3 linked regions of the Saccharomyces cerevisiae S288C genome follow. Changing the gene in region 2 together with the main gene of any one other region gives a genetic interaction. Each region holds a gene or a part of one and is shown on either strand. Other genes may lie near its edges. The genes, in order: FRS2, TRM732 and SUL2.

Region 1 (3,949 bases), on a different chromosome or scaffold from region 2:
GTGGAAACTTGGATGATATGGTCAAGGCATATTCATTGGGGTTATATGACGACGATTTAGAGGAAGATCCAGGAACCATAGTGGAAAAGCTCGAGGATTTCAAAGAATACAATAAGCAGGTGGAGTTGCTGCGTGACGAAATTCGAGACTTTCAACTAGAAAACAAGCCAGTGACGATGGAGGAGGAGGAAAATGATGGCAATGTTATGAATGATATCATTGAGCATGAATTTCCTGAAAGTTACACAAATGACGAGGACGAAGTAGCACTACATCCGGGCCGGCTACAGGAAGAGGTTGCTATAGAGTACAGACGGTTGAAAGAAGCTACCGCGTCGAAATGGCAATCATCATCACCCGCCGCACACACTGAAGGCGAATTGGAGCCTATTGATAAGTTCGGGAACCCGGTCAAGACAAGTCGTTTCCGCTCTCAACGGCTCCATATGGACAGTAAACCATAACCCATATGGAGACAGAAAGTAAATCAGAATCTATATTAACATATACGTATATATTTGTTTTGTGTACAATAACTACTACAAAATTGGGGACAGACGATATAAAACTAGAGGAACTGCTGAGCTTATTCGTACAAGTCTTCGTCCAATCTAGCAGCAGGATTGGTTTCGATAAAGTCCAAAGAGACTTTATGACCTAACAGTTCTCTGATGTTTTGAACCTTATATTTGATCATGGTAGGTCTTTCCAAGGATAACCCCCAACCAAGGACTCTTAGATCCTTTGGTAGACCCATGGACTCGAGCATTTCTGGTCTGAACATACCAGAGTTACCGATTTCGACCCATTTTTGCAAACCTTCGTGCCAAGAAAAGATTTCCATTGATGGCTCGGTGTAAGGATTGTAGGTAGGCTTGAATCTCAAACCGGTGACACCCATTCTTTCGAAAAACTCTTCCATGAACTTGATCAGGTCACCCAGAGTAATGTTGTAGTCGGCAAGAACACCTTCCACCTGGTGGAATTCGGCCAAATGGGTGGCGTCAACTGCTTCGTTACGGAAAACACGGTCGATAGAAAACAATCTGGTGGGCTTTGGATCTTTGGCCAAATCGTGCAGCATTCTGGCAGAGATGGCTGTGGAGTGAGTTCTCAAGACCAATTTTTGACATTCTTCTGGCTTCCAGTTGTAACGATAACCGATGGACCCGAATCTCCCCTGTTCGTGAACGGCTTTGATATTGTCCATGTATGTCTTGTCATCGGGCAAGTCAGCGGTTAGTGGGTCCTTGATGTAGAAAGTGTCTTGCAGGTCACGAGCAGGATGCTGTTGTGGGACGTAAAGGGCATCGAAGTTCCAGAAACCTGTCTCGACGTATTGGTTCGAGGGCATCTCTGTGAATCCCATGGAAAAGAAAATTTGTCTAAATTCCTCTCTGACTTTGTTTAAGGGGTGAAGAGCACCTGAAGATATTTGCACACCTTGAGAATTGAAATTGTAAGGCTTGAACTTCAAGTCCTTGTATGCATTGGTGGAGACCATGTCGGAGGTAAGATCGGTTTCCAATTTGGTGAGGTCGGTCGAGAACTCTGGCCCTTTGGTAACGTTGAAATCTGTGATTTTACCTTGAGCAATTAACTTTCTTTTCTTCAAGTCGTTCAAAATCTTGGCGTCAATGCTATCCAGATGCGAGTTGTTCTTGATTTGCGCTAGAATAGATTGCGTTTCATCAGTAAGCTCATTTAAATCGGTATTTTGCAATTTTGCGGAGAGTTCAAGCTCGTTTGAGGCGTTTTTGGCGATCCAGCCGTTCTTGAAAGCTCTAGCCTGACCGACCTTACCAACTTGAGGACCCAGTTTGGACATCACATCTTTGATTTGAAGTTGACCCAACTCTTGGATGAGCTTGACTAGTTTAATTTCGTACGAACCTTCATTCAAAATTTGAGCACCTTCTTTGGTCAAGTCATACGTAACCGTGTCGACCTTGGAAAACTCTAACTTGTTGTGGGCTTTCAAAGAGTTCAAAGCGGAAAGAACATCTTGAGAGCCGTGCTGAGGGAAAGTTGCCAGTGTGGACTTGATCTCATCCAATTCATCTAGTTTTTTTAGAATTTCTAATTGGAAGTCAGACATCTTTACGTTAGGGGGTGAGAGAGGGAGGGGGGTGCCTTTAATGTATATATACGTAAGATATATATATATATGTATATATATGGAAATGTATTCACAACTTTACATGTGCATTAACCACAAGTACTGCGTACGTTCAAGATTACAGCAATGCGTTTTATTAATTTTTCAAGCATTTTTCACGTAGAGAGGAACAAAGTTTACTGAAAAGAAAAGAGGTAGAGAAAAACAGAAAAATTTTTTTTTTCTGTTTTTCCTGCCTCTTTTCTTTGTTTGATTCAATATGGTCGACCGGGTAAACCCCTGATAAAACGATACCAAAGCCGGGTCACCTAACTTATGGCCAAATGCGACCGGTCCCGCTTTCCGATTTTAGCCGGCGAAGACGTACTTGGCGCCATAATCAAAACCTAGCTTGCCCAATACTTCTGAGTTCTACGTGGTGCAAAAATATTTTTTTTTTTTTGAAAAACCTACCCTATTTCATTATAGATGCATCCATCAGTATTACGGTGTCCTCACACAACCCTGTCTCTGCACAACGTAATACCTCCTTTTCCCGTCTGCTAGCTCTCATTTCGCGGTAATCCAACTTCAACCAGCAACCCGGATCTTCTATACGCAGTCCGGTGTGTGGGTGCATGACTGATTGGTCCGGCCGATAACAGGTGTGCTTGCACCCAGTGCCCAACGTCAACAAAGCAGGAACAACGGGCTGATAAGGGAGAAGATAAGATAAGATAAGATAACAAATCATTGCGTCCGACCACAGGCCGACACATAGCAGAACGATGTGAAGCAGCGCAGCATAGTGTTAGTGCCGGTGCAGCTACCGCTGGTATTAACAGCCACCACAATACAGAGCAACAATAATAACAGCACTATGAGTCGCACACTTGCGGTGCCCGGCCCAGCCACATATATATAGGTGTGTGCCACTCCCGGCCCCGGTATTAGCATGCACGTTTTCTTTCCTTTGCTTTTCCGCCCTTCCCCTGTTCTGTTCATCGCATGTGCATATATATATATAGATATATATATACATTGTACACGGTGCACGGTAGTGAACATAACTATGAGCACGAACAGAGTCCCGAACCTCGACCCGGACTTGAATTTAAACAAAGAAATCTGGGACCTGTACTCGAGCGCCCAGAAAATATTGCCCGATTCTAACCGTATTTTGAACCTTTCTTGGCGTTTGCATAACCGCACGTCTTTCCATCGAATTAACCGCATAATGCAACATTCTAACTCTATTATGGACTTCTCCGCCTCGCCCTTTGCCAGCGGCGTGAACGCCGCTGGCCCAGGCAACAACGACCTCGATGACACCGATACTGATAACCAGCAATTCTTCCTTTCAGACATGAACCTCAACGGATCTTCTGTTTTTGAAAATGTGTTTGACGACGATGACGATGATGATGACGTGGAGACGCACTCCATTGTGCACTCAGACCTGCTCAACGACATGGACAGCGCTTCCCAGCGTGCTTCACATAATGCTTCTGGTTTCCCTAATTTTCTGGACACTTCCTGCTCGTCCTCCTTCGATGACCACTTTATTTTCACCAATAACTTACCATTTTTAAATAATAATAGCATTAATAATAATCATAGTCATAATAGTAGTCATAATAATAACAGTCCCAGCATCGCCAATAATACAAACGCAAACACAAACACAAACACAAGTGCAAGTACAAACACCAATAGTCCTTTACTGAGAAGAAACCCCTCCCCATCTATAGTGAAGCCTGGCTCGCGAAGAAATTCCTCCGTGAGGAAGAAGAAACCTGCTTTGAAGAAGATCAAGTCTTCCACTTCTGTGCAATCTTCGGCTACTCCGCC
Region 2 (6,756 bases):
AAGTCGAGAGGTTACCTGGTTCATACTACAAAATCGCTGATTCTATGATCAGATTCCATACAGAAAACGCTGATGATCAAGATCGAGTCCCAACTGTTATTGGGGAAGCCATTACGCACATAAACACCTTATTTGATGACAGGGATATTCACGCTTATGTGCATAAGGATATTGTCTTCGTTCAACAAACGGGGCTAGCCTTAGCCGCCGCTGAGTTTTTGATGAAATTTTACAACAGTGGCGTCAGTCCTACTGACAATAGCAGAATATCTCTATCAAGAACATCCTCTTCGATGTCCGTCGGTAATAATAAGAAGCATTTCCAAAACCAGGTAGATTTCGTTTGCGTTTCCGGTTCGACATCACCTATTATTGAACCATTATTTAAATTAGTGAAGCAAGAGGTTGAAAAGAACAATCTAAAATTTGGTTACACCATTCTTTACGGTAGCTCAAGATCCACTTATGCCAAGGAACATATCAATGGTGTCAATGAACTTTTTACCATCCTTCATGACTTGACAGCCGCCTAAGCGATCATTTTCCCTCCTGTACTTTCAAAATGTTCTCTTTCTTATTCTTCAGTTATAGTTTTTACGAGCGATTATAAATATAAAAGTACGATCTTCCTTTTACGTATATATGTATATACAGCACGATAAATTACAAACAAGTTTCAACTAACAATGTGGGTTATTTCTCATATTGTTAATGAGATCTTATAATAATCATTATACACGAACGCTATTTTTCACTTTTTTTTCATTTTTGTTTTCGCCGCAAGAAGTAATAGTGAAAAATTGAAAAAAGCTTCAATTTTAGTTTGCTGAAAGAAACCTTTACTTATGTAGAAGGTGTACTTGCAAAAGCACTAGTGTAATATAGAGCAAAGTTCATCATGGGTAAGAAAAACACTAAAGGTGGTAAAAAAGGTAGAAGAGGTAAGAACGACTCTGACGGTCCAAAGCGTGAACTTATTTATAAGGAAGAAGGCCAAGAATATGCTCAAATCACCAAGATGTTGGGTAATGGAAGAGTCGAAGCCAGTTGCTTTGATGGTAATAAGAGAATGGCCCATATTAGAGGTAAGTTAAGAAAGAAAGTCTGGATGGGACAAGGTGATATTATTCTTGTTTCCTTAAGAGATTTCCAAGATGACCAATGTGATGTTGTCCACAAATATAATTTAGATGAAGCCAGAACACTGAAAAACCAAGGTGAACTTCCTGAAAACGCCAAAATTAATGAAACAGACAACTTTGGTTTCGAATCTGATGAAGACGTTAACTTTGAATTTGGTAACGCTGATGAAGATGATGAGGAAGGTGAAGATGAAGAACTTGATATTGATGACATTTAATTTAGGCCGAACAAGTGTCCTCAATATCTTCTAATGCGTCAACTATTCATAATTTATTTATAATTATATTTTTTAGTCCATCATAGGAAAGGGTTTTCTTTTTACTATATCGAAATACTTATATATAGATATCAAAAAAAGAATAAAAATGAAATACCTCAAGAAGTCGTTTAATCTTCCTTCTAGGGTTTCTTTCAAGCGGACGTTAAGGAGACGTAATAAAAATTTTCTCGCACGAGAAATTTGAGCAAAGAGCACGTTGCGAATACGTTTTATCCATTCATCGTTTTTAATTTATTACCTTTTCTTTCGATGCTGTTTATTGTCACTCATGAGTGCTTCCGTTTTTTCCATCGAAAATTTACTTTTTTAGACTGAAAAGAAAATGAAAAGTTAAAATAAATTTTTACCAGAAAATGCTCATCGCAGGAAAATGACAATACTATTGTGAGCTTCCCGAGGTACACATTACTTCATACTGAAAGTTTCAAAAAATGACTACGGATGTGCAATTTTCAAGTCAGGAAATCGAGCTTTTCCGTGTCAAAGAATTCTTGATTGCTAATAATCCAGCAAAGATCAACAATGAAAATAAGGATGCTGTTTTAACTCAGATTGAGCATGATTTCAGGTATTTAATACAGTATATCAAGGACGGATTACCGAACTTAAATGAGTCCACAAGGTTAATTTTTCCAGATACCTTTTCGATCTGTTTACTAAGGAGCCATCAAATAATTGCAAGCAAAAAAATTGACTCTCAAGAATTTTTATCGGCGGTAAAAGAGCAACTCTTAACTGAAGCGAATGCAAATATTATCTTTGAATATGTTCTTGACTTTTGGGCTGATGGTGGAGCCCCACTGATGAATGCCTTGAGAGATTTATTCAGTAAACTACTGAACTTATTGAAAATCACATATCCTATGTCAACCTTGAAGGATGTTTTATTTAATTGGATGAATGAAATATTAGAAGTACCATCTACGTTGCGTGTTCAGTATTACTTGATTGATGCCCTTTCTTCTGATTTTGACCTTTATTATATTATAGAAAAAAAGCCTCATTTCATCGATAACTCTTTTTCATTAATGAACTCTGATTTGCTAGCAAATTCGGTAGGTAAATGCATTGTTAGTTTGCTGTTAAACATTTACGAAAAGCATTTCAAAAAGAACGAGTCTTTTGTACAAGAATGGATACAATTATGGAAAAGTTGTGCTTTAAAGTACATTCACGACAAACAATACACCAAATCCATTAATCTGTATATTATGATTCCATTATTCAAAAATATGCCAAACTCGGCCTTCACACTTTTCCTAGAATGTATGTCTAACAAAGACCCATCACTTTTGCTCTCACTTTTAAAGATTGGCCAAGAATTGGGGATTGAAGAAGAACCATTTTGTGATAATAAATATACCACTGTAGATTCTGTTAACAAACTCATAGAGCAAGATGAGTATAAACTTCAGGTATTTGAAATACTGACCTTTTCGACAAAAAAGTCAAAGCCTATTCGTCCCTTCGTCTTCAAAACTATAAAACAGTACCTATATGTGTTCTTCGTGGACACTGAACTTGAACGCAGAAATTACTTTTGCAGTTCGATGAAACACTTTATATTTAGAACCAGAGACTGCGCATACTCTTTAGCTAGGGATGCCAGAAAGCTTAAAAAGGCTGAGAAATTTCCGGACGAACAGAGGGAAAAGTTGGCGCAAGTTGAGGAGGCTAGAGCCTTTTTGGTTTGGCTATGCAATTTTATAAAATATAATTTGGCCCCTGGTACTTTATATCAGGCGAACGTGACCTCATTAAAACTTATGCACATTCTGATCAAGTCTGGTGTTGATAAATCTACTCCACAAAAATTTTTAGACAACCAAAATAAGAGGGAATATCCTTTTTCTATCCCAATTTTACAGGATGTCACATTTTTAAGGTTGCTCATTGACCTTTTGGTTAGTAATTATGCTGACGTGCGCGAATTATCTAAAGAAATGCTATTTATAATGATAAGCGCTGATGAATCTAGAGGTCTTTTTTTGGATACCTTAGACGCAAATGCTTTGAAGTGGACTGCAACCTCTCTTTTAAGTGACTATGAGAAAGGTGATGCTGGAGCTACCGTATATGAGTTCATATTCACAGTCATGGGCTCTCAAAGAAGCTTCATTGACCAGACAATTGATATATTAGCGCAGATGGTACAAAATTTGCAAAATGACAGCATTGGTTGTGCAGAAAATTCAATCGGTCCTCACTTTGCTGCACTAAGCTTGATTTTGAATAAGTTTAACTCTGAAGAAAACCATCAAGATACTTCAAAAATAATCTCAAAATTAATAAATCTTGTACTCAAGAGCTGGGAAGCAACGAGAAATGTAGTGTGTCATGATTCTGCCCATGGAATACTACCTGAAAAATATGCTAATTGTGGTGTACCGGACCAAGTTATAATAAGTCACGCATTTAGGGCGATAAAAGAAGCATCATATTTACTTGAAACAATATTAAAAAAATACCCTTTAACAAGAGATCAATTAGACAGTATCGGCGATCTTTTTATTGTTCAGCTTTCTACTATTCGTCATAGTGGCGCCTTCCAAGCCGTTTTACCGGGGCTAAAGGCATTTTGTATTCGTTGTCAACTTGAATTTCCCGCTATTCTGGAAGAACTTTTAAGCAAGAGTGTAAAATCTTTAAAATCCAAAACTCAACATATTACAAGAAGGTCAGGAGGCTTGCCTTTCTTGGTCACAACCGTCTTAAGTGCAGAAGTTACCAAAGGGAGACCTTTGTTACAAAAAACTTTTGAAAACTTACTACTCGTTGCAAGGTTACCAATTCCTCCCCATCAAGATGAGTTTGATTTACCACAGGTTAATGCTATTAATTGTATAAACGCAATCTTTGTTGAACCGAAGCTCTCTGTACACTGTACGTCATTTGTCTCAGAGGCATTAGAACTAGCTTTATTGAATTTCGACTGTGATATATGGGCTCTAAGAAACTGTTCTATCATGCTGTTTACCTCCTTGCAAAATAGAATTTTTGGAAAAGTGGGCAGAAGCGTTAGTGCAAAATTATTCTTTACCAAATATTCTGGCTTGAGGCAACTGCTTTTGAATATTCTAAACAGTTCTATTGCTCAATATTCGGGAAGTGAAAGAAAATCATATCAAATTGAAAGCATTTTCTTGGTCCTTAATGTGCTACTGAGGTTACGGCCTACAGCTGGCTATACTGGTCTAAAAGAATTCAACGTTTCTGTTTATGAATGTTTATCAAATGAGAACTGGAAGATCAGAGATATGGCCTCTAGAGTATTGCATATGCTGTCGGAAAATTTTGAAGAAGAGATAAGAAAATTACTTGACTTGGCTTCTATCGCGAAGCAAAACCAGTTACATGGACACTTACTAGCACTCCAACAACTAGTACCACAATACCTTTCAGGAACTAGAGATATGGAGTTGATTCAAAGGATACTTGAAAAGAAAAGGATGCTTCTACTAGAGAACAAGTGCTTTATCACTAAAAAGGCCTACTTAAAATTGACCTGCTGTATATTGGAAACATGCGACATACCTGATTCTATTTTAAAAGATTATATCAGCACTTTGCGGAACACATTTATTGCTGAAAATAACGAATATGTTGTGGATGGTAGCAAACAGCTATATCTTGCACAAATCTTAGACATGCTCTTAAAATATGAGGATAGTATATATCTCGATGATATTTGCTTATTAGGATTGTATTCTCCATTTTATGAGGCTCAGCTCAGTACACTACAGTACATGAATACTAACTTTCACTGGGAAACTACAAGAAACTCAGAATTTCTTGAACAACTACAATTATTACTCAGGGTTCCAGATTTGCTGCCTATGGCTAAAGCTTTAGTAGTGAAAATTCTCTCAAGAAAAAAGAATACTTTATCCCTGACGACCTGCACTGATCTCCTAAAAACAAATAATAGTGAAGATACAAAACTTGCTGCCGTTTCATCACTAAGTGCTAAATTGTCTTCGCAAACCTTTCACCAGGTATGGAACTTGTTACAAGGATTTTTCGCCGATTCTTGTTCAAAAGATTTTAGATTGGCATCTTTAGAATGTTTAACTGCTTATCCAGAAAGTTGTAAGAACTCCAGAATACTATTACAACTGTACAACTTCTTATGGGACGATGATTCTGAAATAAGAGAAAAGGCTTCTTTTTATTTGAATAAGAACTTTATTCAAACTGCAGACTGGGAATATAACAGGAACACCAGTGTGACCGCTCTTATATTCACAAAAAAGTTTGTTGACGTATTCACAAGTTCTGAGGTGGTAGAAGAGTTGTGTTTACAGTTGTTTCAATATCTAAATGAATATGATATGTTTGCTGCCGAAGAATCGGCGAAGAATTGTCTATTTACTATAGAAAAGGATAACCAGTTCATCAACGAACTACAAAAGGCAATGCATATATTAAATATGATAAAATTGACTGGAAGGGATATCTCAAAGTGTTACAAAGACCAGATACATCACCTAAAAAGTGCTCTATTGGAGCACTTCAACACCGAGGATTTTAAAGATTCCCCACTCGGCTGGTGCTCTAATGCTGAAATATTTTCAAGAATAACGCTTTTAAAGGAACTGATTCAACATTATTCTCCTTCTGATTATGAGAATTTTATCAATGTTCTGACTAAACATTCTGTTCATCCCCTAATTATCAGTTATTCCCAATTATAAATAATGAATATGTACAGATATATACTTTGCATATAATCTGATTCATCTCTAACCTACTTGTGGATTTAGTGACGAGATTCATTGTGGAACCTATTACAAAGCATGTCGATTTCTATTCTAAATACAATGATGGAACTTGATTTAATTTCTTTACCGTTGTCATTTTCTTTTGAATTTTTTCCACCTCTTTTTTTGTTGAAAAATGTTCATGGATGGAAAATTAAAGGTGTGCCCTATTACAAAAGCAAGTTGTACCCCTTTACTAACTCTCTAGTCAATTTGAACTATTGTGAAAACGACAGTTGTGCTCACATGATATAACAAAAGTAATACTGACAAATGGCATTCCAAGATCAAGATATATTCATAGTGTTCTCGCATGCCTCCTTATTTCTTAATCAAAATGATTTATTAAGCCTAAGTCTAACATCCAAAAAAATGCATGACATGATTGCAATCCCTCGTCTTTATAGCAATATTCACATAACTAAGAATCCTGTTTTAAGAACAAACAAATGGTTTTTGGACGGGGGAAAAACTTATGTAAGTGGTTATAGATCTGTTCTGAAAACCGGTGACAAGAATGACATATTTTTATATGATAGAATTGAAAGGTTGTTGGAGACATCGCATTTAAAA
Region 3 (5,143 bases), on a different chromosome or scaffold from region 2:
CAGAACACTATAAGTGACATCGGGGATGCCACCGAAGACCAAATAAAGGACGTCATCCAGATAATGAACGATAACATCGACAAGTTCTTGGAGAGACAAGAAAGAGTTTCTTTATTGGTGGATAAAACTTCCCAACTAAATAGCAGCAGTAATAAATTTAGGCGCAAAGCGGTCAATATAAAAGAAATAATGTGGTGGCAGAAGGTCAAAAATATTACGTTATTAACTTTCACTATTATACTATTTGTAAGTGCTGCTTTCATGTTTTTCTATCTGTGGTAAGTAAATAAAAAAAAAGGGGAGCTGTCCCACGACAATAACATTAATAACGGTTGTATTTCTTTTGTTCCTGAGAGGAAGAGAAAAATAAAATAAAAATAAGGTAAATATTTATAGGTATGTATATGCTCACGATGGCACCATCCTACCTATTATTTCTTATTATATAAACAGTGTCTATCTCATTATGATATTAAATGTATACTTTTAAGGGGGAAAACTTTTTGGTTTAGGAATATAGAAAAAAAGAGATGATATAAATGTTTGCATGTCCATTGTAAATGCATTGGCTAGATATCCCATTTAGCAAAATCTGGGATATCGATATGGAAGAAAGGTAGATTTGTTCCTGAAGCGGTATAAACGCTATATTTTTCAGGATTTTCTTCGCCTTGAGGTACTCTGGCGACGTGATAACTTGTATGACCGGCAACAATGGATTCATCACTGTATTCTTCGTTCAGAGTACCAAATCCTCTGCTAATTAAACCTCTCTTCACCCATGGTGAAATGATACCCACAAAGTGGAATTCAACTTGCCTATCTGCATATTGATTTATGGCCTTTCTCAAATCAACCAATGATTGAAGAGCCGTAGCGTCTGTCTGTGCCACTTGTGAGAAGTCTAAGCATAGTATTTTCAGCAATGGCCTGTCATCTCTTTCAACATCGACTGAGGTGCTGGGCGCGTTTTCCATGGATTCAGGGTCGTTCTCCCTTTTCTTCCAGAATTTCAAATTCTTTAAGAAAGCAGGTGCTTCCCATGGACCAGGATCATTCCATGGACGGTCAGATTTTTTTCTGTGGCGAATTAATTGACCACGTCTGGTAACTTTTTTAACTTCTTCGGTTATGATGTTGTAGTGTCTGGAACAGTTGAGATAGGTGTAGCTCTCTGATAGCCTATAAACAAGAACACCGTCTGGTGGGGGGAGAATCTGAACGTCCGGGTTCAATTCTCTTGTGTATTTATGATCAAACGGTATCCATTTAGTATGGTATTTTATCCTTGGCTGGCTAATCGAAGAAGATGGAGAATCAAAGCCCTTTGTTTGAACGTTTGTTTCTATTTTCTTGGAGGAATTTGTGACGTATTTGGTGGAACTTTCCTTGTCATCCTCACCACCATCTTCTAAAGTGGAAATACCATTGTTATTTTCAGACACGTAGCTAACCACATCGGAGTCCGGTCTGACGTAAGCATCAGTAACTTCAGCGACTTCCACACGACCCAAGAATTTTCCCGCTGGGAAAGCCACTTTTAAAATGAGCATTGCACATGACCAGCACATGGCAAAATAAATACCATCTTCAATAGAGGCAAATACCGTTATTAGGACGGTGACAATGAAACAGATGAAGTCCAATGGATTCATCTTCCAGAAATTCCAGGTAGTTTGATAAGAGGCCAAAAGATCAGATACAGCGTGAATGATAACTGCAGATAAGGTAGCCTTTGGAATGTAAAAGAATGCGCCGGTCAAACAATATAATGCTAAAAGAACACATGAACCCGAAAACAAACCAGATAACGGCGTACGGACATTACATTTAGCCTTCAAAGCAGACCTTGAAAAGGAACCAGTCGCTGGGTAAGCATTGAAGAAAGTACCTAAAAGGTTCGAGACACCAATAGCAATCAATTCTTGGTCGGGGACGACTTTATAGTCGTTGATTCTACCAAAAGACTTCGAAATAGCGATATGCTCCAACAATAACACAATAATGGATGCAGGCAAATTTGGACCAAGCTTAGACATTAATCCTGGTGGAACATGGAAAACCCCGACTTCTTTCAAACCGGATGGAACTGAGCCTAGGATGCTGATGGGCCTCTCCGATTTAGATTTGCCTCTTGTGATTGCCCAACCAATACAAGTGAATACAATAATAATGATACCATTTCTGGAAGCCTGAGCGTAAAAATATGTCCATTTGATAATTTTGTGTAACCTTGGGTTTTTGGAGTTGTATCTATCGTTCAACCTTGGTCCATATGTTCCGCACCACCATTTCCAAACATAAAGAAGGAAAAGCGGGATTAGCCCAAAAACTGCGTCCAGTTTGGTATCTGGTAAATGTTTCAAGGTCTCTATGACCACTTTATAGGTGGCAGCTCTCGTGTTAACCAAACTATTGTAACCCATTAGTGCTGGAACTTGACCCCATAAGATATTAAACGCGGATCCAGTCATAAATCCAGCGACTGCATTTAAGGAAATCAGTTCGACAAGAAACCCTAGACGCAAGAAGCCAACTGCTGCCGAAATGATACCACATAGTAACGCTAGAGTCGTTGCAATAACGGGACCAGTTATGGCAGAATCTCCATCAGGATATTTTGCCGTGACATCCGCAATGACTTTGGCGGTCTGCAAAGACATGACAGCCACGGGCCCAATACAAACATCTTTTGATGTAGCGAAAAAAGAGTAGGAGTAAGCACCAATAAACGAGGAGTACAACCCATACTGCGCTGGTAGCGTGGCGACTTGTGCATATGACATGGATTGCGGCACGAGAACACAGCCAATGGTAATTCCTGCAATAAGATCCGCAGTAAACCAGCTAAAATTGTAATGTGGTAGCCAGTTGATGATGGGAAAAACACTCTTAAGATAACTACATGCTCCTTTCACCGTGAGATGAGATCGTATACTGTGGTCATAGTACTCTTTTAGCGATACCGTTGTTTCTTCAAATTGGGAAACGGAATTGTCATACAACGAGACATCTGAAGGATTAAAGTAGTCAATCTTCGAGCCTTTTACGCCCTTTGAGCTGTTCACTGCGTTGTGCTTTGCTACAGAATTGCTCTCTAAGTCCTTATCATTAAACGTGTCATTATTTTCATTATTTTTATATTGGTCATACTCTAATTCTAAATCATCAAGATCTGGAACGGTGTTGTTAGTTTCCTGAAAGTCAGGAATTTCTACCTCTTCAAAGTTTGGATAACCTTCCCTGGACATATCTTAGATAATTCCCTGCTAATCTATACACACACACACCTCAAGAAAGAAAAATGTTACAGAAAGATAAAAACTTCCAGGCTTTAGTACGAGCCTAACCTGTTCAAGTATTGTGTTGATACCTTGATATATATATATATGCGTATTATTGAACGCAGAACACTGAACGGCAGATCATCCCTCAACCGGCTATGACTAAAAACTGGACTTTGGTTCAACCATACCGCTATCCGACGTTGCTAGTTTCTGCGATCTTTTTCAGTCCTTGTTTAGGACCACAACTGTGGCCGAATTTCTCTCTTCACGTGACCTGACACGGCCACAGTGGCACGTGACATTTACTCCAGTATAACAGCCAACAACAACTAATCAACTTCCCACCGGGTGCAATGAAACATCAAAGGCTCCGTGGTGGAGTCGGCATTAGTAGTCGTATATGCCCTTGCACAAGCTCGCATATAGAGCCTTCTAAGGCGTCGCTCTACAGTCTCGTCATAGAAGACGGCAGTCAATGCCAGCTCGTTCTCAGGAGAGAGCGGGGGGTTTTCTATGAAGAGGCTCTTGTAAATATGAGACAGCTGTCTTGCGAAAAGTTGGGCAATTTGTTTGGCCGGAGAAACTTCGCCAAGAGCGTTCCTGACAGGAATTTGCACGCCAGGGGAGGGGTATTTTTTGTGATTGTAGCTTAGATGACTGTTCGCTATTAAAAATTTGTAGTGGTTTCCAAGAGAATTTATCAGGAATATCCTCTCTGGTGTGAAGGTATCAAGATCTGTCCCACTCAGACGCATTAACGATGGCGGCGTTTGGACCCAAGGGTTTTTAACGTTAAACAGTGTTATCCAATCCGCCTTCAGCCAGACGCTCCTTGAAGACGTTGAATTTAGTTTCCCATTGTTTACAGCGATGGAATCTACCAAGTCTCTGTGGTTCTCAAATGGCCAGTGAGTCAGTAGAAAGTGGTAGTGTTTTTGGAAGAGATGCGCATGTCGTGGGAGCGGGTTATTCCATTGGAAGTGCGTTTGGTAAATGATACTCTCCAGTGCTTTTAAGCTTGCCCTTAAATCTTGTCTTCTTTGCGCCTTCTCGTACAGTTGTAGTGATTTTGTTAACGGCACGGCTATTTCTTTGAACTTGTAATCGCTTTGTTTACTTGTGAGTGTGGTCGTCAATGCTACCTTGGTTATTTGATGAAGCGGCGTAGACTCTATGACCGGCAGTAATAAGGCGTTAACCTGGGACGCCATTGTTGCTCCAAGTTCGCAATCGCTGTTCTGATAGAAGGCCTTTGTATGCTTGCTTTATGTCCGCCGCGATGGGGATTCTTCCTATTTTTCTACTGAAGGTGCGAAAGACTTCATTCTTCACCGCATTCAGTAAATGAATTTCATATATATACATATATACAGGTAGGATAACTTATGAAAAAAAAAAAAAAATAGAATAAAAAGTTATTGATGCCATCATTGGATACAGCAGTACGAACTTCTTGCTTTCTGATGCGCTGAATCCTGTGCTTCTGGCTTGAACGGCCTTATCCCTTCTGGAAGATCGTCCGTGTGAATGATCCGGAAATTTGATATAGTTTCGTTGTTAGTCAGGTTGCTGTCATCTTCAGTATTTACAGTCGCATGTGAGGCACAAGATGAAGATGACGGCAGATTCGTTTTTATTGCTAGTAGTTCTGATTTTTCATTGAACCAGTTATCTGGTGGAAATTCAATATGAACGAAAACATACAGATCGCCGCACCGGCCATGAGGGTTATCTAAAATGGGCCAACCTTCATTGGCGATTTTGATGGTGTCACCAGGTCTTACTACTCTGCCAGGTTTAACGCTCAATGTTAGTAACCTGTCGTCGAAGGTTTTTGTCAAAAATTTCTCAAATCC

Evidence for each region.
Region 1: mutations in TRM732 (region 2) and FRS2 together harm fitness more than expected from each alone (negative genetic interaction), as found in Saccharomyces cerevisiae (one large-scale study listed by BioGRID).
Region 3: mutations in TRM732 (region 2) and SUL2 together harm fitness more than expected from each alone (negative genetic interaction), as found in Saccharomyces cerevisiae (one large-scale study listed by BioGRID).

The regions. Positions count from the first base shown.
Region 1 is NC_001138.5:92,913-96,861, forward strand, and holds FRS2 (phenylalanine--tRNA ligase subunit alpha), read right to left. Parts: upstream 2,099-3,949; coding exon 587-2,098; downstream 1-586. Other genes in the region: BUD27 (prefoldin-like protein), read left to right, coding at 1-464; GAT1 (Gat1p), read left to right, coding at 3,054-3,949.
Region 2 is NC_001145.3:783,982-790,737, reverse strand, and holds TRM732 (tRNA methylation protein TRM732), read left to right. Parts: upstream 1-1,854; coding exon 1,855-6,117; downstream 6,118-6,756. Other genes in the region: TPS3 (trehalose 6-phosphate synthase/phosphatase complex subunit), read left to right, coding at 1-533; TIF11 (translation initiation complex factor eIF1A), read left to right, coding at 899-1,360; ROY1 (Roy1p), read left to right, coding at 6,457-6,756. UniProt on the Saccharomyces cerevisiae protein: Together with methyltransferase TRM7, methylates the 2'-O-ribose of nucleotides at position 32 of the anticodon loop of substrate tRNAs.
Region 3 is NC_001144.5:321,652-326,794, reverse strand, and holds SUL2 (sulfate permease), read right to left. Parts: upstream 3,252-5,143; coding exon 570-3,251; downstream 1-569. Other genes in the region: NYV1 (Nyv1p), read left to right, coding at 1-282; GEP5 (Gep5p), read right to left, coding at 3,617-4,498; XDJ1 (Xdj1p), read right to left, coding at 4,715-5,143. UniProt on the Saccharomyces cerevisiae protein: High affinity uptake of sulfate into the cell.